Linked DNA regions of Schizosaccharomyces pombe. The protein of the gene in region 2 binds, or shares a complex with, the protein of the main gene of each other region. Each region holds a gene or a part of one and is shown on either strand. Other genes may lie near its edges.

Region 1 (7,369 bases), on a different chromosome or scaffold from region 2:
TATCATTGCTTTGTAACTTAGTAGATGCTTTATTGTGCCTTTAGCTTGTTTTTATTTTCCATATTAGTTTGTTCTAAGAATTGGGTAACCTCGAAATTTATTACAAGGTCAATTAATAGGCAATACGTTTTTTGTTCCCTTAGTTGTAATTGTTCAAAATGAAGATTCTTGCAAGCAGTACAAATTATGTACTACATAATCGCTTGTCCAATTCACAATATGAAGATGCGCGATCAAAAATTGTAAATTTTGGAGGAGAATTCACAAACGATGCAGCAAAAGCGGATTACATTTTTGTCAATTACAGTCAAATTAACAGAGTTCGGCGAGAGCTAAGAACAATTGGAACACCGTTAGAGACGTGTGTATCGTGTAAGTTGATTGTTAAAATTGACTGGCTTAACGAGCCTAAAGAATCTTTAACGCCCGGGAATCCATATGTGATATGGCATCGAAAACCAGAGATGAAAGTTGGCTCGCCGTACACACCTTCAACAAGACCTGCTTCGCACACTGAAGCACCAAACGATTTTGAAAACCACGAAACTCCAAACACAGAAAATAATAACGAAGTTAAAAGCATTGACAATGTTGATCAAGAAGGATCAGTTTATCCGACTACGAAAGAATACCCTTACGTTCTTGAAATTCCACGGTATGCGTGCCAGAGAAAGACACCGCTTAAATGTGTCAATCAAGCCTTTGTGAATGCTTTAAGTGTCTTGAAAACATGCAGAGAAGTAAACGGTGAATCAGTAAGGACTAGGGCATACGGAATGGCGATTGCAACCATTAAAGCTTTTCCCTTGCCTATCGATAGCGCAGAACAATTAGAGAAAATGCCCGGTTGTGGGCCCAAAATAGTACATCTTTGGAAAGAGTTTGCATCAACGGGAACCTTAAAAGAAGCTGAGGAATTTCAGAAGGATCCGGCTTCAAAAATTTTGCTTTTATTTTACAATATTTTCGGAGTTGGTGCTTCTCATGCTGCTGAATGGTACCAAAAGGGTTGGCGTACGATTGAACAAGTTAGGAAGCACAAAGATTCATTTACCAAACAAATAAAAGTTGGTCTGGAGTTTTATGAAGATTTTTGTAAAACTGTAACCATTGAGGAAGCCACGGAGATTTATGAAACTATTGTCTCACGGATGCCGGATGGAATTAAAATTCAGTCTTGTCTAGTAGGTGGATTTCGTCGGGGAAAGCCTGTTGGAGCGGACGTTGATATGGTGTTGAGTCCATCACATACTCATTCTACAAAACATCTGGTGGATGTTCTCTTAAGAATTTTAGACGAGGAATTTCAATTCCGACTAATTTCTGTTCAGGAACATTCTTGCGGAGGAAAGAAAGGTTATGTAATGCTAGCAGTCATTTTGTCAAATTCTTCTAAAATCAATAGGCGTGTTGATATTATAGTAGTGCCGCCTGCATACATAGGCTCTGCCGTATTAGGATGGAGTGGAGGAATATTTTTTCTTCGCGATTTGAAGCTTTATGCTAACTCTCATTTGGGTCTAAGCTATGATTCGTTCGAAATCATAAATCTTAAAACAGGAAAAGACATATGTCCCGACGAATTTAATGAGTGGAAGGATCCCGTGGAAGCTGAAAAAGACATTTTTAGATATTTCTCCCTAGAGTATATTGAACCAAAGTTTCGTAACACGGGATAGTAAATACCTATCTTGACCTTAAGATCGCCACATTACTAACTCGCGATTTCGAAAATTGTTTTACGAAGCTTCTTTTAATTTATGTTTCTTTGCTACCCGACACTTTTAGTAGATTTTTTGCTAAAAACTTGAAATGTTTACACATTTTTCCAATCGGTCTATTAGGAAACGAAATCCTTGGAACAGAAATGAGACATCAAACAAGTAAATTTATCAGAAATCTCGAATTTAAAGAGAGGGAAAATTGAGGTCTAACAGTTTGGTATACAATGAAGCTCTATGCGAATGCTGTGTTTACAAAATATGGATTTTTTTTAAAGACGAATAACGATTTTTAACGTCATGGCGTTAAAATGACAATTTTACTCATCTTAGGGCACGTGACTGGAGTGGGTTAAAAATAATAAAAAGTTGTGGCTGCAACTTTTGTTTTTTACCAAACACCTTACCTTGACACATACCTTTGGAAAACCATCACCAAAGGACTTTCATGTTTGAGACATCGTTTAAAATACAAAACTGTGCATTTAATCAACGTTCAAGGACTGGCCATCTGAAATAAAAGGAACATTTTAAAGATAATACGGATTTTTTATCGAAAGAGTGACTTGTTATGATATTTCAAATTTTAGAATAAGTCACAAGCACTAAGCGCTTTTTAAAGACATAAAGTAGAGCAAATTTTTTTATATTACCTAAAAAAATCATCGAGACTGTAATAACAATGGCAACCATTAACATCCGACGTGATGTCAAAGATAGCTTCTATCGTTATAGAATGCCAAAACTGCAATCTAAAATCGAAGGCAAGGGAAATGGTATAAAGACTGTAATCCCGAACATGTCCGATATCGCTAAGGCGTTGGGAAGACCCCCTTTGTATGTAACTAAATTTTTTGGTTTTGAGTTGGGCGCCCAAACCACCATTATTGCTGACATGGACCGTTACATTGTGAACGGTGCTCATGATGCTGGAAAGCTTCAAGATCTGTTGGATGTATTTATCCGCCGTTTTGTGCTATGCGCTTCTTGTCAAAATCCGGAAACTGAATTAAGCATTAATAAGAAGGATCAGACAATTTCCTATGATTGTAAAGCTTGTGGCTATCGTGGTGTCATTGACGGTCGTCACAAGCTTACTGGTGTCATCGTCAAGAACCCTCCTGCAAAAAAGAAGTCCCACAAACATAAAAGGGATTCTCCTGTTGCAGAGGAAGAAGATGGTGCTGAAGACGAACTCACTCGTAGAATTCGTCAAGAAGCCGCGGAACTCCCTACCGCTGAGGTCGTAAATGACGAAGATTGGGCTGTGGATACCAGTGAAGAAGCTGTTCGTGCTCGTGTTCAAGAGTTAGAAGGTAATATGAAAGATTCGCTCACTTTGAGTGACTTACGTGGCGACGAGGAAGAAGCGGAATCTAGCCGTTATGATCAATTCGGTGAATGGCTTGAAGACAACTACCCTGGTGTTTCTGATGTTGAAATTTACAAAAAGATGAAGGAAGAGAATATTCATCATAAAAGTAAAGCTATTGTTGTACTAGTTCAATGTATTATTACTTCGCCTTACGTTGGGGAGTTTGAAAAGCATGGTGCATTGTTTAAAAAGCTTTGCACGACAGATAAACATGAACGTGCTCTTCTTGGTGGGTTTGAACGTTTGATGGAAAACACTGAATTAGTGCACATCGACGTTGTTCCCAAGGTACTCTTGGAGATTTATCAGAATGACTTGGTCTCTGATGACATGTTTGAGAAATGGGGAGCAAAGGCTAGCAAGAAATATGTGAGCCGTGAAACTAGTAAGAAGATTCATGAAGCTGCTGAACCTTTTTTGACATGGTTGGCTGAAGCAAGTGACGAATCTGAGAGTGAAGATGAGGAGGAAGAAGAAGAAGACGACGACGAATAAGAACGGCCTCTTTTTACTCTCTACCACAATTTGTGCTTTGAGAATTGAATAACTTACAATCCTGTTCTCTAAAATATTAAGCTGATTCTTTCAAGTTTTAGCAAATTAGTTTCTCGTAAGTTGAATATATCTATTAAAGTGTTCTGATTTTTGTAAAATAGGCTAGCCTTTTAAAGTGTTCAATTTATACTATTCAAAACATCCAACTAATTCCATAATTTCATTTTACTAAAGATTTTTAAAACTGATTAGTAATGTCTTTTTCTAGCATGAAATTCTAATTAACGACTTTCTTTATAAACACTTCTATCGCAAGTCCGATGTTACATGTTTGTTGTATAAGTTTTTGAAAAACATGAGACTGTTGTTTTGACAATTCTTTGCCACCACTAGACATATAATCAACATTCAGTCTTCCATCTGACAATACGGATAGAACAATGATAATTTGTTCGGAATTATTCAGTTTGTTGATTTCTTGATATTGGGCATGAACGATCGGATGCTCCTTAAAATATAGAGAGAGGTGAAGGGAGGAAGATGCCGCAGTCTCTGCTAAATCTGCTGATTTGATATTTTCCAAAATCAATTGTAATAATAAATATTGGCGTACAATAGCAAGTATTCCTCGAATTTGCTTGGGATGATGAAACGGTACGTGACGCAAAGAACGTGCGGAAACATCGAACCCTGTTAGCTGGATGGCTTGATTTTTATTAATGAATTTGTAGTTCACGGTTGATTTTGAAGGTAAACCAAGCTGGTGAAATTAGTTAAGTTGATATTTAGGGAAAGTACTTACCATATGACTATAATTTTGGACAGGCCAAGGAATGGTAATGTCATGGACATGAAGCAAATCAAGTAAAGGTTTGACGCCCTGCTCTGGTATTATTAAATTGATATCATCAAAAACTAGTTCCATTGTTGTAGGAATAGGTGTCAAAGTATTTTCAAGTGCCCAATTAATTTTTGATGATTGGAGGATAGGAGGAGAATTTAATAAATTATATCCGAATAACAAGTGAGGTAGCGACTCATGAGACAAATTATCCATAAAAATTTGAGTGCTATAGGTTTTATCCAAAAGCTTCCAGTATACAATACGCAAACCAAGTTGTCCTTCGTAATTACTGAGAGGCTTTCCGTTTCCATGCATTATAACATTTTCTTCTTGTGCTAGCAAAGATAATTCTGCTTCATAAATAGCATTTAAAGAAGAGGATAGTGAGTCTAAATATTGGAAACAACTTTGTTGGACCGAAGGAGAGGAGTGATCAAAGGTAGCCAACCATTTGACATTCTTTTCAAATAGTGGGGTATTGCAATTGTAAATTGCATCCTTAAGTAATTTTTCTGCAACAGGATTATTATATTGCTCACCACTAGCGTTTGCAAAAGCCAAAACAACGTTGATATCTTTTGGAGACGCATTTATGGGAACAGTGATCTAGATACTAATTAGTAAAACGGTTATGTACAGGATTTAAACTTACGTCGATCAAAATTATTTTTCCAGCTAAACTGAGGACCACTTCATTGGGTTTGGAGGAGTCTTGAAAAACCTCCAGACCATACTTTTTAGCCAAATATTCAAATCCAGTTACAGAGATATCATTCCAAGGAACTGATGATAGACAATCAATCCAATAACGCGTCCAGTTAATCTGATTGGGGTTAGAGGCGTTTCGACGGAAATGAACTTCAGAAAAGAGATGTGGTCTATCCATCGAAAAGATTATTAAAGAAGATTTAGTAAATTAGTCGTGTATTTCGTATTTAATCAGCTTAAAACACTGTATATAAGCGCAATTTTATGTCTGTTCAGCGAGCAATTTAATTTGTTCTGCAAAAAGGAAGCCTTTACTGCCATCAAACTATTTGCTAGAAACGCATTAATTGCAAAAACAAGTAGGTAATTTTGAACCGCCTAAAACTTAGTTTCAATGGGAAGGTCTGTGTGATTGATTTATCTTTATAACGAGGGTTAAAACAGTAGTTATGGGGAATTTTATATGTATACAAATGAAAACCAATTTTAAACCTTGGACTAAAAAAAACCCAAAGTATGTTCACTCAAACTCTTTTTAAAGCATCAAAATATATATGCAGTAAATCTTAATAAAATATTTTCTTTTTGGTAAAATTTGTGCACAAATCAATAAGCGTTCTATGTTTCATTTACAGCTTGCGTGCCCTTTCAGAAGTGGTTGGTATTGATATGCAGGGTGTAGCGCGGCTTTAATTAGCCACGAACGTACTGCTACTAGTTTGCATTTTAAAGAAGATAAGAGACTGTAACTGAAGGAGGGAGCTTATAGAAACAATATTTTGTTTCAAAAAAGCCAGTAAAAGCGTAATATAGTGAGAATTTTGGCTTTTTGAAGCAAAGTTTGCAAATGGGCTATTTGCAGTCCCAAAAAGCGGTTTCTCTGGGCGACGAAAATACGGATGCATTATTTAAACTTCATACATCAAACCGGAAAAGCGCAAACATGTTCGGAATAAAATCTGAACTATTAAACCCATCTGAACTTTCTGCCGTTGGTAGTTATTCCAACGATATTTGTCCAAACCGCCAGAGTTCTAGCAGTACAGCAGCAGATACGAGTCCTTCGACGAATGCCTCAAATACGAACATTTCTTTTCCGGAACAAGAGCATAAAGATGAGTTATTTATGAATGTTGAACCAAAGGGAGTTGGTTCATCTATGGATAATCATGCTATTACTATACACCACTCGACTGGCAATGGTTTACTCCGAAGTAGTTTTGATCACGATTATAGACAGAAAAACAGTCCGAGGAATTCCATACACCGTTTGTCAAACATAAGTATTGGTAATAACCCAATCGATTTCGAGTCATCTCAGCAGAACAATCCTTCGTCGTTGAATACTTCTTCACATCATAGGACATCTTCAATATCGAACTCTAAGAGTTTTGGAACTTCCTTATCATATTATAATCGTTCATCAAAGCCTAGTGATTGGAATCAGCAAAATAATGGGGGGCATTTGAGTGGGGTTATATCTATTACACAAGATGTATCATCCGTTCCTTTACAATCTAGCGTTTTTTCCTCGGGGAACCATGCATACCATGCTTCAATGGCTCCAAAGAGATCCGGTAGTTGGCGTCATACTAACTTCCATTCTACTTCACATCCCAGAGCAGCTTCTATTGGAAATAAGTCTGGAATTCCTCCTGTTCCAACTATTCCTCCTAATATAGGTCATTCCACTGATCACCAACATCCTAAAGCAAATATATCTGGATCCCTTACGAAATCAAGTTCAGAATCGAAGAATCTTTCTACAATCCAATCCCCTTTGAAGACATCCAATTCTTTTTTCAAAGAACTTTCCCCCCATAGTCAAATAACCCTTTCTAATGTTAAAAATAATCACTCACATGTAGGATCACAAACCAAATCACACTCTTTTGCTACCCCCTCTGTCTTCGATAACAACAAACCTGTTTCATCCGATAATCACAATAATACTACTACATCATCTCAAGTTCATCCCGACAGTAGAAATCCTGATCCGAAAGCTGCTCCTAAAGCGGTTTCTCAGAAGACAAACGTTGATGGGCATCGTAACCATGAAGCTAAACATGGGAATACTGTCCAAAATGAGTCTAAATCACAGAAATCTTCCAACAAAGAAGGTAGATCTTCAAGAGGTGGCTTTTTTAGCAGATTGAGTTTTTCGAGAAGTTCTTCTCGTATGAAGAAAGGAAGTAAAGCTAAACACGAGGATGCCCCTGACGTACC
Region 2 (5,916 bases):
AATTTCTTCATTTATCAAATTATTGGAATATTGCTAAAGTAGCGAAGTTCGAATTGTACGAGAGTAAAATTTTGAGAGTAGTGCACAGTTTGTATTCACCAAATTTCTATCCTCAACCCACCACCAGTTGGAGGTAAAATTGCGGTAGAAAGGCAACCATGGCTGCCACAACCGGTAATATTATCAAATTTGAAGAAAATGCAGATTCGAAAGATTTGCTGGAGCAATGCTTGAATTGCTCTGATGTTGGTGTTGTATCCAACACTGTTCGCAATATGGATGGTACTATTGCGGCTGATTTAGCTAGAACTTTAATCCCAGCCATGTTGATAAATATGCAGCCATCCCTTGCGATTTGGTTGCATTGGATTATTGTTACACATGGTGGATATTTGACCACCGTCATGGATTTGCAGGATTCACTTGTTCAGTTACATGAAAAGCTTGTACAAAGTGCTCATTTAATGACTAAAATTTTTTCTTTGTCCGGAAAATTAAATATGGTTTTATCTCAGGAAGAGATGAGGCAACGTCGACTTGATTTTTCGAGTGAAGATGGAGAAGAAGAGGAGGAAAACGATTACATCGATGAGGATGTGGATGAAGCAGGCTACGATATAGAGGTAGTTGATGAAGCAGAAAATGATGACATGGACAATGATTTGGAAGCAAATGCCGATGCGTTTGATGAAAGCAATTTGGAAGCTTCTTTGTCGCCAAATGCAGAATTATCACCTAGAAAAAGTCACATTGATCATGACTTTGTCATCCCGGAAGATGAAATGCTTTCTGAAGAAGAGGAACAAGAGGTGGAAAAACAAATTCTACCTAAATTTGTTGTCCCCGAAAGCCCAAGAAAAACTAGTCGCAAATCTCGGTAAAATCGGGAATACCTCTGTAAGAAAAAAATCATTCCTTTTGCATAACTTCTGTTTTCTTTTGATCATAATAAATAGAGTGTCTTGATCAATTTACAAAGCTCTACTTTTTTTCCTTTATATTTTATTGGTTCCTTGGATATTAATATTTGGTGCCATGAGAATGACGCTTTATCGTTTTATGGGTACGTGTTGGAATTCGGAAATTGTTTTTACTTAGTTTTAATCTATACATAAATAATATGGATACACCATACATGTATATAAACAAACCAAGTTTGTAAGTATTTGTAGATTGTGTGACTAACCTGCAGTCGTATCGTATATTTAGCGTGTTCATTCGAAAGTATGCCCATAATTTAATCATGAAGCCATTTGTTGGTTTGCTCAACAAATTTATAGTTCTACATTTCTTTTCATCTTCTCGAATATCAAATGTTAAGACAATTTTTGATATTTTGTAATAGCGCAATATTTTTTTCATTGTATCCAATATCAATTAGTGTAGTGCTGTATATATTAACAAAAAAATTGAAATAATATTAATTTATTAACATAAGTAAAACCTCCATAACTCTTGACAAACTACTCTAAAATTTTCTGCCAACAACCAACTACTTTAAAAATGGGTTTTTCTGATCTCACCTCTGACGCTGGTCTTAAGCAACTTAACGACTTCTTGCTTGACAAGTCTTTCATTGAAGGGTAAGTCATTTTTGTGCGGAAAATGCATCAAAATAATAGTGAAATACCATTTGATCACAAATCGTATTTTTTTTCCTTTGTTAAAAGTTCCCTATGGCATATCTACAAGTGCAAAGACTATTTTTTAAAGCCCTCTCAATTAGACACGATAGCCGTCTTTTAACAAAAAACGTGAAAATGCTTTGTTTGTATCTTTTCACTGAGCTTGATGTTTTTTAATTACCAAATCCTTTCTAACGTTTTATAGATATGAGCCTAGCCAAGCTGATGCTGTAGTCTTTAAGGCTGTTGGCGTTGCTCCTGATACTGCCAAGTACCCCAACGGTGCTCGTTGGTACAAGCAAATTGCCACTTATGACCTTGCCACTCTTCCTGGTACCGCCAAGGAGGTTTCTGCCTATGGTCCTGAGGGTGCTGCTGCCGCTGAAGAAGATGAGATCGATCTCTTTGGCTCTGACGAAGAGGAGGATCCTGAAGCTGAGCGCATTAAGGCCGAGCGTGTTGCCGAATACAACAAGAAGAAGGCTGCTAAACCCAAGGCCGTTCACAAGTCTCTTGTCACCTTGGATGTTAAGCCTTGGGATGATGAAACCCCTATGGACGAATTGGAGAAGGCCGTTCGTAGCATTCAAATGGACGGTCTTGTTTGGGGTCTTTCCAAACTTGTTCCCGTTGGTTTCGGTGTCAACAAGTTCCAAATTAACTTGGTTGTTGAGGACGACAAGGTTTCCTTGGAAGCTCTTCAAGAGGAGCTTGAGGGTTTCGAAGATTACGTCCAATCTACCGATATCGCCGCTATGTCCAAGTTGTAAGTTGTTTTACAACTAAAGCGTTCTTCCGTTTATCAGGGAGGTCCTTAGGAATTACAAAAGGATCTTCTCCTCTATATTCTAATGTTAGAGGGGAATGTGTGGATATGGGAAAGCAAATAATTAAATTTGTTTTTGGTTTATATCTATCGATTGTTTCATAAAGTACGATTTTTTTACCTCAATCGTGTTGTAAGCGTGTAAATCTGTATAATTAAGAAATATGGGGTTCGAACGGTGTATTTTATGCAATTCAAGCAATGGTAATTGACATAGAAATGTATGACAAGTTATTTTTTTTGCATCAATCATGAATACTGAAATTACGTCTCTAAAGCCCAGTCGGGTATTTACGATTGATGACTGTAATGTATGGGCAGTAAGTGAAACAATCTGTTTAATTTGGATGATCCAATACCATTTTTTTATGCTGCGGTTCTTTGCAACAGTCCTGCGTAGATCAACTCATATTTTTACTATTTCGACAATTGTTTTACACTTCTCAAAATTGGGTATTATTTAGAAAATACTCTTTACGATGAAATGTATATGAAGAAAAATAACTTTGAAAATGTATTACTAAAATGAATAAAACAACTAGCAACATATAGAACATAAGTTAATATGATTCAGTTAACAACGTTAAGAATACATTAAACAGTAGATGAGAAAAAGAATTTAAGTAATTTGTCTCTTGAGAATCTAGTAGAATCACCGAGATTAAACTATTGAAGTTAAAAGCGACTTCTTAGGAATAAACCTGAGAAAACAAAGATGAATTTTAAAAACGAAACAACGCCATGTAATAAATAAGTTTTCTAGACCGCAAATTAAAGAGTAATTAAATCATTTGGTATTGTTTCCATGCTTTGAAACGATGAAAAATCTCTGAAAACAGCAGATAACTGAACCCGCAGAAAGAGCTTCAAATATTTATCGCTCTTCTGAGTACAATCATTGAGTAATGGAAAGCAGAATCGACAAGTTTCAGTAAAAGCAACAAGTTTAGTAAAATTCGGCAAGAGCATTAAGGATTTGACCTGCAGTTTTAAAGCAAACTTTCACAGCTTTCTAGGATTTGATGAGCAATTGATGGCTCATCAATTACTTCTTTCTACGACTTGGACTACGAGGTTGAGAGGAATCACGACTAACATTGCCCATTACAACGTCGTCTTCAAGGCCAAACACTTTAGGATTAAAACCTGGAATAATGCCTGGCTCTACAGAGAACACATGATGTAAAAATTCAATGTCAATAGGAACTTCTTCTCGAATAGGGTTTGTAAGCCATTGTTTTATAGTATTATCACGAAGAATTTCATTATAACCTGGCAAGTCTTGGATGTAAGCCTTGTACGAACGACGCATCTTTCTCTTGTTACCAAATTCATCGACACGTCCAACCTTTTTAGCAAGTTCCGTAAGACCATAAAGCTCTATTAAATTCTGATGGGCAGAAGGCCTCGTCGGTTGGTAGTCTACACTACCTACATAGTGGTATTCAGGAGCTTGCGCCATGCAAATAAATTGACCAATGTAACAATAAGAATATATTATTGCATTCAAATTTTTTAAATATATATGCAATGAATGCTTTACTCTCTAAGTTGCTTAGCTGGATAGTTTGGAGTAGTGGTTGGTGGTTTAAAGAAGCTATAGCATACTTGGCTAGTATAATTATTGAGTTACTTCCAAGGGTAATCGATTTAACATAAATTGTAATTAATAAATTGCATCAAAACATATATTGAAAAATTAAAATTAGTCGGTAGGTAAAATTAAAACTTTATTATGTGTCCATTCATCCAAAGTAGACTGAAGTTTTTCTTCTTGGTACAGAGCACGGACCGAATCAGATCCACCGATGCTATGACCACCAACGAAGATGTTGGGCATTGTAGATATATCGCTAATGGAAGAAAGCCAGTCTCTTAACTCTTGAGTATGCTCGTAGTCGGTGACTTCTACAACCACTGCTGGAGGATCCAATCTAAGGGTTTCTGTTAGAAGTTTTTTAGCTGCAGCACTATAAGGACATCCAGGACGACTAAAAATGATAACAGGGTTTTCAAGAAATACTTCAAAATCTGTTGAATCCTTAGCAGGTAATTTAGGAGCAGATGGCACTGAGACATCTGAAAGACCTAAAGGTCCTGCCTTTGCATTTTTCTCAGGTTCATTCAGTGGACTGAATATGAAGATATGAATAAGCAATAACGATATTATAAGAGATGTAATAAGAAAAATCTTTCTATTAGCCATAATGGGATGTAAGCTTTCCTTTCTCTTGGTAATTTGTATGAGCTGACGAAAAGCAGCTGATTAATCAAATTATTGTGATTAAAGCAAAATAAAATAATATAAAATGAATAAACTATTACAATTAAATTCCCTCACAGTTGGTTTAGATAGTTACCCAAAACCTGTGGTATGCAAACGGTAGGCTGGTCGCGGATAGGTGAATTTAGGATATTGCGATTGAGGATTGAAAAACTTCTTTAAAGGCCCAAAAATTACTAATTAAGCTACAAAGATGCCACCGTTAATATGAATCAAGCTCAGTCTATTTTAATGCTTCTACAACAAGGGCACGGAAGGAAAGGAACCTTACTTGCTCGCATTAAGGATGCCAAGCACTTTAGTCTTTCAGATTATTCTCAAAAGATGTAAATTTTTTTAAATAATCGTCAAAAAACGTAAAGGTAATGTACAACATTCTAATGCTATTTCATCCTCATGATTTAGCAACTCTCAAAAGCTAATGAACTACTTGTACACGTGTATCGTAGAATTGAAATGCGTTTTAACAAATCCGTTAAGTCTATAAAACATGGTTCGAAATTTGGTATAAAAACTACCTCAAATGAAGCGACCAATTATCCTAATAAAAAGAGGGGAGATAATGCTCTAAAAAATATGAAACGTGATAAAAAAATAAACCTAAGCCAATTTGATTTTAGGAAGAGCCAACATGACAGAGTCAAGAGCCATACCATAACCAGCTTGGTATCCTGTGCCAGAAGCACCGTAATCATGAACAAGGGGGACTGAGGTGCCGGGAACAACATCAAGCTCTACGCGGGCACCACCCTTTCGAGAAGGACGGAATCCGACACATTCTTGAATAATTTCAGCACCCTCCGGACCCTTGCCGTGGAACAATTCTGGCATCAAAGCCGATGTTCTCTTAAGGATATCCAAAGTGTCTTCAGGGTGAATTTCACGATCCCAGTTTCCTGGTTGCATGAAACCGCCGCAAATGACTCCACCATTTAAGGGACGAGGAATAATATAGGTATCAGAGTTCTTGCCATTCAAAATGCGAGTTTCTGTTACATGAGGAGCCTTAACCAAAACAACATGTCCACGAGTCGGATAAACGTCCGGGTCTTCAACGCCACCCAATTTGGAAGCCCAGAGACCAGTGCAATTAAATACTACTGAAGCTTCTGGAGTTTCTTCGACAGTCTCTTTGATGTGACTCAATTCTTTCTTTTCAAATTCGACGCCAGCTTCAATGA
Region 3 (7,171 bases), on a different chromosome or scaffold from region 2:
TTTACATAAGCACCCACAACACGGTGTTGGTCACTAGATGTCGTATGATATTCTATAACTATATCATAATGATTGAATAGAATTACTCCCTTCTCCGTATTCTTGCCTAATGGAAAGCCTGGCGATAATGAGTAGTTCTTTGAGTTAGTCCCTTCTAAATATGTTGCTACGGGCAGATTATCTATGTTCCAGTTAACAACGTAGTTTTTGGAGATTAAATCTCTAATAAAACTGACATCTGAACTGGGAATTATCGAGGCACACAAGGGAACACAATCCTGGTTTTCAAGCATTTTTATTTCAATGGGAGAGTTGTAGAGACGGTCGCCAAAAAGCACACTTCCAAGTGACTCAGATTGTTTTGCGATATTCTCTGGTCGACAGAAGTGGAAACGCTCATCGTAGTCTAAAGTGAAGTTAGTAACAAGCAAAAAAGTTCGAGAGAAAATGTTATATCCTTCATTAAATCATATTTCTATAGTGTTTTCCTAATTTAAAATTGTAAAGTTTTTAAAAAAACACATGAACCTTCATGTGAGCTATCAACCACGTACATTCATAATTAAAGATGTCAGAACCCCGTCCATCTCCAATAAATGGTGAAATGGTATTGACAGTTGTATCAATTGAAGCACCGGGAGGATAGTTTTTCGGACTTAAGGGAGTTAATTGAAAACTAAAACAGGTTTGGAGAAGAACGGAAACGAAAACAACAAAGCTAAATGAACACGAGGGAATACTAGGTAAAAGCATATTTTACTATTTCCCTAATTCTTGGCAAAGACTCGAAACAGAATCTTTTCAAACCGAGATGATTAAGACTAAATCAATATAAAGTGCTACGGTTTTGGGGATTGATGCTGGTAGCATTTAATTTGAGGAATGCTGCTGTACTCTTAGTATGTCTCTTTATTGTGCTATTAACAATCCTCGTATACCGGTTTACGACCTGCTAACTTTCGTTATTCGTATATGAGGTTCAGAACGTGAGAGTTGGAGAACATCGATGTAAGCGAAAACATATCTGTTGAGTTTTCTTGTTATAACTTATTTATCGTTACATAATAATTGAAAGTTTAGTACTAAAAGTTGCGAAGGAACAGGTTGGAATGTCCTTAAATGACTTTCTGCAAACTTTGAGTAACGCTGTTGGAGAGAAAAACTCCAATACGTTGGAGAAATGTATTATTTTAGATCCATCAGAGCCCTCGTTTCAACAGCTCAGTAAAACTCTTTTTTTGGTATGTCGCAGGCTTGCACTACAAGTAATTGTCTTCAGGTTATAACATTAACTAACCGTGATAAAGGATAGAAAGGGGAAAAATAAGTTAAACGGAACCATTCAAAAAGAATTTGGAAGAATAAGAGGTTGGAAGGAATTGGTAACTACCTATTTTGAGTACGTTGAAAATGCTGCATCTTCTCCTGATCAACGAAAATGGGAATTGTTACAAAACTTGTATAGGTAATTAAAAACTTTTTGTTTATTATTTCTCACTTTTGTTTTTCTAGTAACTTGACAACTTGCTTCTCCCATATCGATGGAGCATGGTTGTGTACAATTGTAAAACGCGTTTCAAAGCTTTATGTAAAGCTCTCCCTTCAGCTAGATACATCTACACCTACTTTAGAAGATTCTTTTGATGGTAATGGGTTCATACAGAGGAAATACGTGAGCGATGCATCTAGGAACGTCTTACGAACGTTCAATAGTATACTGAGTGATCGTCAACAAAACATTAACCCTTCGAAGAAGGATGCGATATTCTGTATTGCCAATTTACTTTGTTTACTATATTTTCGCTTAAAGCAAATTCGTCTTTGCCAAACTATTCAAGCTAATGTCATCTCTTCGGGTGCCGATATTTCTCGCGCTACAATGGCGGAATTAGTAACGTTTCGTTATTATTTAGGAAGGTGTCATCTTTATCAACGCAAAATTCATCAGGCAAAGGACCATCTACTTTTTTCGTTTCTTCAGTGCCCTGATGAGTGTTATCATCAAAAAAGGTATGTTTTATTTTACTCAAAAATAGGATTCGTTTATATTTACTAATCAAAAAAGGCTTTCTCTAATCTATCTTACAACGTGTTTACTTATATTAGGAAAATCGCCAACAAAAGGGCTATTAGAAAAATACAAATTGACTGCAGCATTCGAACCTTTAATAAAAGCTTTGAAAAGTGGTGATATCAAGTCGTTCAGATTATCTTTGGAGGACAATTCCAGGAGGAAATGGTTTATCAAACGAGGAATATATCTAACTTTATTGGATAGATGTGAAATCATCCTGTGGAGGAATTTATTTAGAAAGGTGTACGTTTGAGATTTTTTAAAATATTCGACTAATTTAAAAAGGTTTCTTTTTACTTTTGAGCAAAGCCAAAAAACCCCGCACGTATCTGGTTCTTACTTGTTAACCGCGGCCCGTTTAAGTACAAATGATAACTCATATGACATGGACGATGTCGAATGTATCTGTGTTTCTCTAATTGACCAAGGATATATTAAAGGTTATATCATTCATGCATCATCAACTTTAGTCCTTAAAAAAGACCCATCGTTCGGTTTTTCTGTAATAGAGAGCCTTATGCCCATAGCAAGGAATGATCACGCAGAAAAGGAATTTTTTCATGCTAACGCATAATTAAATGAACTCAGAAAACGTAGATTGTTCGAAAATTATACTTAAAATTAATTAAATTTGAATTGACAAATGTTAAGCAAGGAACAGTGTTCAATCATCTTGCTTTGCGAAGTCTGAAAGCTAAATAAATACAGTCTAAACGGCAAAGCGTAATTTTATTCATTTTTAAAACAAAAGGGTATTTGGTCAAAGCAAAAAACTCTATAATTAGAAAAGTAAAATACCAGATATCACTTGACAAATAACACAATTTAGAATCAAAAATCTTCTTCCATTTCTGGATCAAAAAGATCAAATCCTGCAAAGACATCCTTATTAGCTGGCGATTCTACTTCTTTATTTTCCTCTTGCGTAGTGAATGTTGGAGAGGCAGGATAATTCATTTTAGTTTTTTCTTCAACGGCTTTGTTCGCATCAATTTCTGTTTCTGTTTCCGTTGGCTCGTTCGTCTTTGGAGGCTGTTCAGAAAATAATTGGGACGCTGTAGCCGATAAATTTGGAACCATGCTAGTTGAAAACTGAAACAACAGAGTTTTTCGCATCTGGTCCTCCGATGGCCAAGGATAATGCACAGGAGCTTTTGCATCTTGACCCGTCTCGGGATTGTACCCAGGAGGTGCAGAGGAAAACTTGGAAAGTTTTCTACCATAATCAAGGAGTGTTTCAGCATTAACTTTTTGTCGTTTTCTCCCCGACACTGTTTTTGGAAGATGGGTATCATAAATTGAGGTCATTTCTCTCATGCAGTCTTGAATTTGTAAATCCAGTTCCTTATCCTGCTTCAGCAAAGAACTAATTTCATTTTGTAATTCTCTACCATTTGTGTAATTTGATATTAAAGAGTGTAAGGTTTTCAAGTGGCCTACTAATGAGGTCCAGTTTTCTATTAGTACATATTGGTCAACCTTTTCGGATGACAGTCTTAACTGTTTATTGAGACATTCTTCAATAGAATCAATGGCTCTTTGATATTCCATTGGGGAGCATATGTGATTACTATATACTAACTACTCAACAATTGCTCGATCATCTAGTAGGTCAGGTTACAGTTATTTTGCAGACTCGACTTTTTACTCCTTAAACATCCGTAACCGTTAGTTAAACAGACATCCTTAAAAGGTTTAATGTGCTAAAACACGGTAAATTACAGTAATGTCCTCCTCCACAAGGGCAATAAGTAGCAGCTGGTATATACGCTCGACGAACAATACTTAAGTTACTCTCGATTAAATAGAATTAGTCAATTTAATTCTGTATATGATTTTAATTGTTTAAATTGTCTAACAAATTTCACTAATTTGGGCAAGAAGAAAGCTATTATTCGTATAAATTAGTCGACAAACTACGTTACATTTACAGTGTAACAATTTTGATCTTGTTAGGGACAACATAATGAATACATACTAGTGAATTAGATATCTCATTAAATTAAAAAAGCGAGTTCGTTAAAGAATGCTTAATGAGCTTATTTCGTTTAATGCGTATAAAGCCTATATCAGATCAGAAAATGTGTAATATTACTTTACCAAGAAATCGCTCAATTTAAATGTAATTTTTATAAAAGTATTTTAAACATATGTCACCTGTGGCTGAGTGAAAACCTATTCTGTCGATTTGCTTTTCCGAGACTAACTCAAAGTGGTCCGTCTATGTGGCTCAATACTGACTTATAAGAGTAGAGCAGAAAATACATTTCATATAAGTAAACTGAAGATACTTGATAATTGAAAATTCAATTGGACAACTTTAAAAAGATTTCTCGGTCAACTTTCTCCAAAGTACAGCTACTGTTAATATAGAGTTCGAAAAAATATGCAATATTGAACGTAAACTATTAAGCTAAATATTAATTTAGTAGGAACTTGCTACCAAAATATTAATATCACATAACTAAAAGATTTCGAAAACAACAATATATATTAAAAACTAATGTCTAAAGATAATGCCAAACAAACAAAGACTGAATGGATAGTAGATAGCAGCACGTTAAATGATAGTAGATGATAAATGCAAGGACAGGACATGACAACGATGTGTGAGATATAAATTAGTGTTATACAGCTAGAATAGATAAAATTTTTTTTTAACTTTGATATGGCTTTGCTTAACCGCAGTAAGAGCTATATTGTCTATCAGTGAAAGGTTGAGGGAATACGCCGTATTCAATAAGTAATCCCATATCCCAAGTAGGACTTGGTCCACCAGTTTTAGCAGTCCAGTAAATCCAACCAGCACCGCGTTCAAATTGATCTAACTGAGTTTCGATAAACAGACGAACAGCTCCCTTATATTCATCCGTCCAAGTGGAAATATCACCGCTGTTTGGTCCAATAAATGTCGAAGAGTCAACTCCTTCTTCGAAAATCGTGCAGTCTGCTAAAGTTCCGGACCATTCGCCAGTAACAGTAATGTAGGGAGAGGAAGCAATGGAATCACCAATGGAGCAAACATCTGAAAGATGATCATCGAGAGTCTTTGAGCACTCATCCGACTCGTAAAGTTGATAACGATGGACATCCATAACAAGATTGTATGAAGAAGGAGATACAACACCATAATCCCAAATAGAAAGATCAACATAGGCATCGTGAATGATAGTAGCAACAGAGCTGGAAAGAGGATTGACGATATTATAGGCATCTAAATCGTATTGCTTAAGTTGATCCATATCCAGACCATAGCCCAAAGGCTCATTTACCGTCTCAATTCCAATAACCACGCTGGCATATTGAGATTGGGTATACTTATTAGCAACATAGGTAATAATGTCAAGAGTACGAGTTACAGTGTCATTTTGCTGCCATCCAATGGAACCAGTCTTACCAGAGTTTTCAAATCCATTTTGGCTGCCTGGAACACCATGCAAGTCAATCCAAACCTTAAGGCCATATTGTTCAGCCCAAGTAAGAGCTTGATCGAGCCAGTACTCTTGCCCTTGAACATATGGTTCGCCGTCTACCACATTAAAGGCCCAATACCCAATAGGAATACGCAAAACATTAACACCCCAAGAAGCTATAGTAGCGAAATCAGATTCAGTGTAGAATGAGCTATAATGAGCAGCTAATTGAGAGGCAGCTTCATCTGCACCAAGAACCTCACAAAAGCCCCATTCATCAGTGGGAGGATTCGACATACTGCTAAATTGAGTAAACAATTGTGGAGTGATCCAATTTTCCAGCACCAACCAGCCACCAATGTTTACACCACGGACTTTTTCCGAGGTATAGTCAAAAACGGGGTTATTTCGCTTGATTACATAGGAAAATGCTGTCTTGAGAAGCAATGCATGCAAGAAAAAAGAAAAAACCGATGTAAAAGAGAGCATTTTAATGATATTATAAAGAGATAGAATATAGATATAAAGAACGAATAAGAGAACGAAAAACTGTTAAGAAACCAGTTTAGTTCAATTCAAAAGCACGTCTCAAATTCTAAGAGAAAAGCAAGTGAGTGTGTATATATTTATGTGTTCTTCAAAGCAGAAGAGAGAATAGGTATAAAGAAAAGGGGTATATATATGAGCACCTTTATGGACCGCGCAATGTAAGAACAAAGGAAGTACAAAAACAGTTCCACACAAAATAGCAATGTACAATTGGACAGAGTGATTGGCCGATTCAAAAAAAAGAAGTTCCTTTTAAAAAGGATATCGATACAGACAGCAAAAAAAAAAAAAGGAAGAAAAACTGAAACTCACGATAACAATGTTAACGAAGAAAACAGATAATCGGGCTGTATGTAAAGGAAAGTGTGTAAAATAGAAAATGCAAGCGACTTCTAAAAATAAAAAGAAAGAAAAAGGTAAAGAAAGAAAAGAAAGGATATCTAAATTAGAGCTTTCGTCTTTGAATTAAACAATGGAACAAAGGAACTGGGCATGAGTATCTTTTATACCAATTTCTCAACTCACGGAGCGCTCTAGAGTATGCTACGATAAAGAAAATTTGACAACCAATCACTACCAAGTAAACAATGATCGACAAATATGGACACTTTTTGACTCCTTAATTGGCTAACCTAATGGCTGGTTTTATTGTTTACTGCTTGGATTTGCGTACTGTTTTGTTTACATTTAGGTAGCGGTTACCAGGTAGATTGGACGAGAGGTAGCAATCGACCGTTTATTGTGGCTTACCGCGTCGTTATACCGTAAACAACGCGCTGGATTCATTGTAAATAGCAACGAAGCGCTGTAAAAAGCCGACAAAACATTAGCATTTGTACACGCTCTCTACCTTCACGCCTTTGCTGCCAGGGTGCGTTTGAGACAGTTAGTTGCTAAGTAAAAAAATGCCAATTCGGCTGGATTGAACTCTAAATATTATTTATTTATTTATTTAATTCATATTGTTTCGGTAATGAATTTGGTAATGTTTACATGATTCTTCTCAACTCAATGTCGGAAACCAACATGTGACTTACCAATTTAACGATATCAACCCTTTTTATTTACTTCATCAGCAGGTCCTTAAAATGTATACTATTTCGATCTAATTTACCTCGTCACACTGCTGTGGCCG

What was found.
Region 1: rox3 (region 2) and med1 share a complex: the UniProt entries of both Schizosaccharomyces pombe proteins name them as parts of the mediator complex.
Region 3: rox3 (region 2) and pmc4 share a complex: the UniProt entries of both Schizosaccharomyces pombe proteins name them as parts of the mediator complex.

The regions. Positions count from the first base shown.
Region 1 is NC_003424.3:536,347-543,715, reverse strand, and holds med1 (mediator complex subunit Med1), read right to left. Parts: upstream 5,807-7,369; 5' UTR 5,322-5,806; coding exon 5,088-5,321; exon of another isoform or gene 5,042-5,087; coding exon 4,394-5,041; intron 4,352-4,393; coding exon 3,869-4,351; 3' UTR 3,704-3,868; downstream 1-3,703. Other genes in the region: pol4 (DNA polymerase X family), read left to right, coding at 159-1,679; translation initiation factor Tif5, read left to right, coding at 2,404-3,591; DYRK family cell polarity protein kinase Pom1, read left to right, coding at 5,991-7,369. UniProt on the Schizosaccharomyces pombe protein: Component of the Mediator complex, a coactivator involved in the regulated transcription of nearly all RNA polymerase II-dependent genes.
Region 2 is NC_003421.2:1,731,271-1,737,186, forward strand, and holds rox3 (mediator complex subunit Med19), read right to left. Parts: upstream 4,043-5,916; 5' UTR 3,914-4,042; coding exon 3,497-3,913; 3' UTR 2,990-3,496; downstream 1-2,989. Other genes in the region: ribonucleoprotein complex protein Utp502, read left to right, coding at 159-881; tef5 (translation elongation factor EF-1 beta subunit, guanyl-nucleotide exchange factor (eEF1B)), read left to right, coding at 1,504-1,583, 1,831-2,395; CIA machinery monothiol glutaredoxin Grx3, read right to left, coding at 4,157-4,657; dao1 (D-amino acid oxidase), read right to left, coding at 5,336-5,916. UniProt on the Schizosaccharomyces pombe protein: Component of the Mediator complex, a coactivator involved in the regulated transcription of nearly all RNA polymerase II-dependent genes.
Region 3 is NC_003423.3:3,513,943-3,521,113, reverse strand, and holds pmc4 (mediator complex subunit Med4), read right to left. Parts: upstream 3,654-7,171; 5' UTR 3,626-3,653; coding exon 2,906-3,625; 3' UTR 2,649-2,905; coding exon of another isoform or gene 2,360-2,648; 3' UTR 2,318-2,359; coding exon of another isoform or gene 2,066-2,317; 3' UTR 2,025-2,065; downstream 1-2,024. Other genes in the region: EMP70 family endosomal transport protein Emp70, read right to left, coding at 1-406, 555-753; TREX/TREX2 complex subunit Pci2, read left to right, coding at 1,110-1,241, 1,308-1,465, 1,513-2,010, 2,066-2,317, 2,360-2,648; cell wall glucan 1,6-beta-glucosidase Exg1, read right to left, coding at 4,753-5,976. UniProt on the Schizosaccharomyces pombe protein: Component of the Mediator complex, a coactivator involved in the regulated transcription of nearly all RNA polymerase II-dependent genes.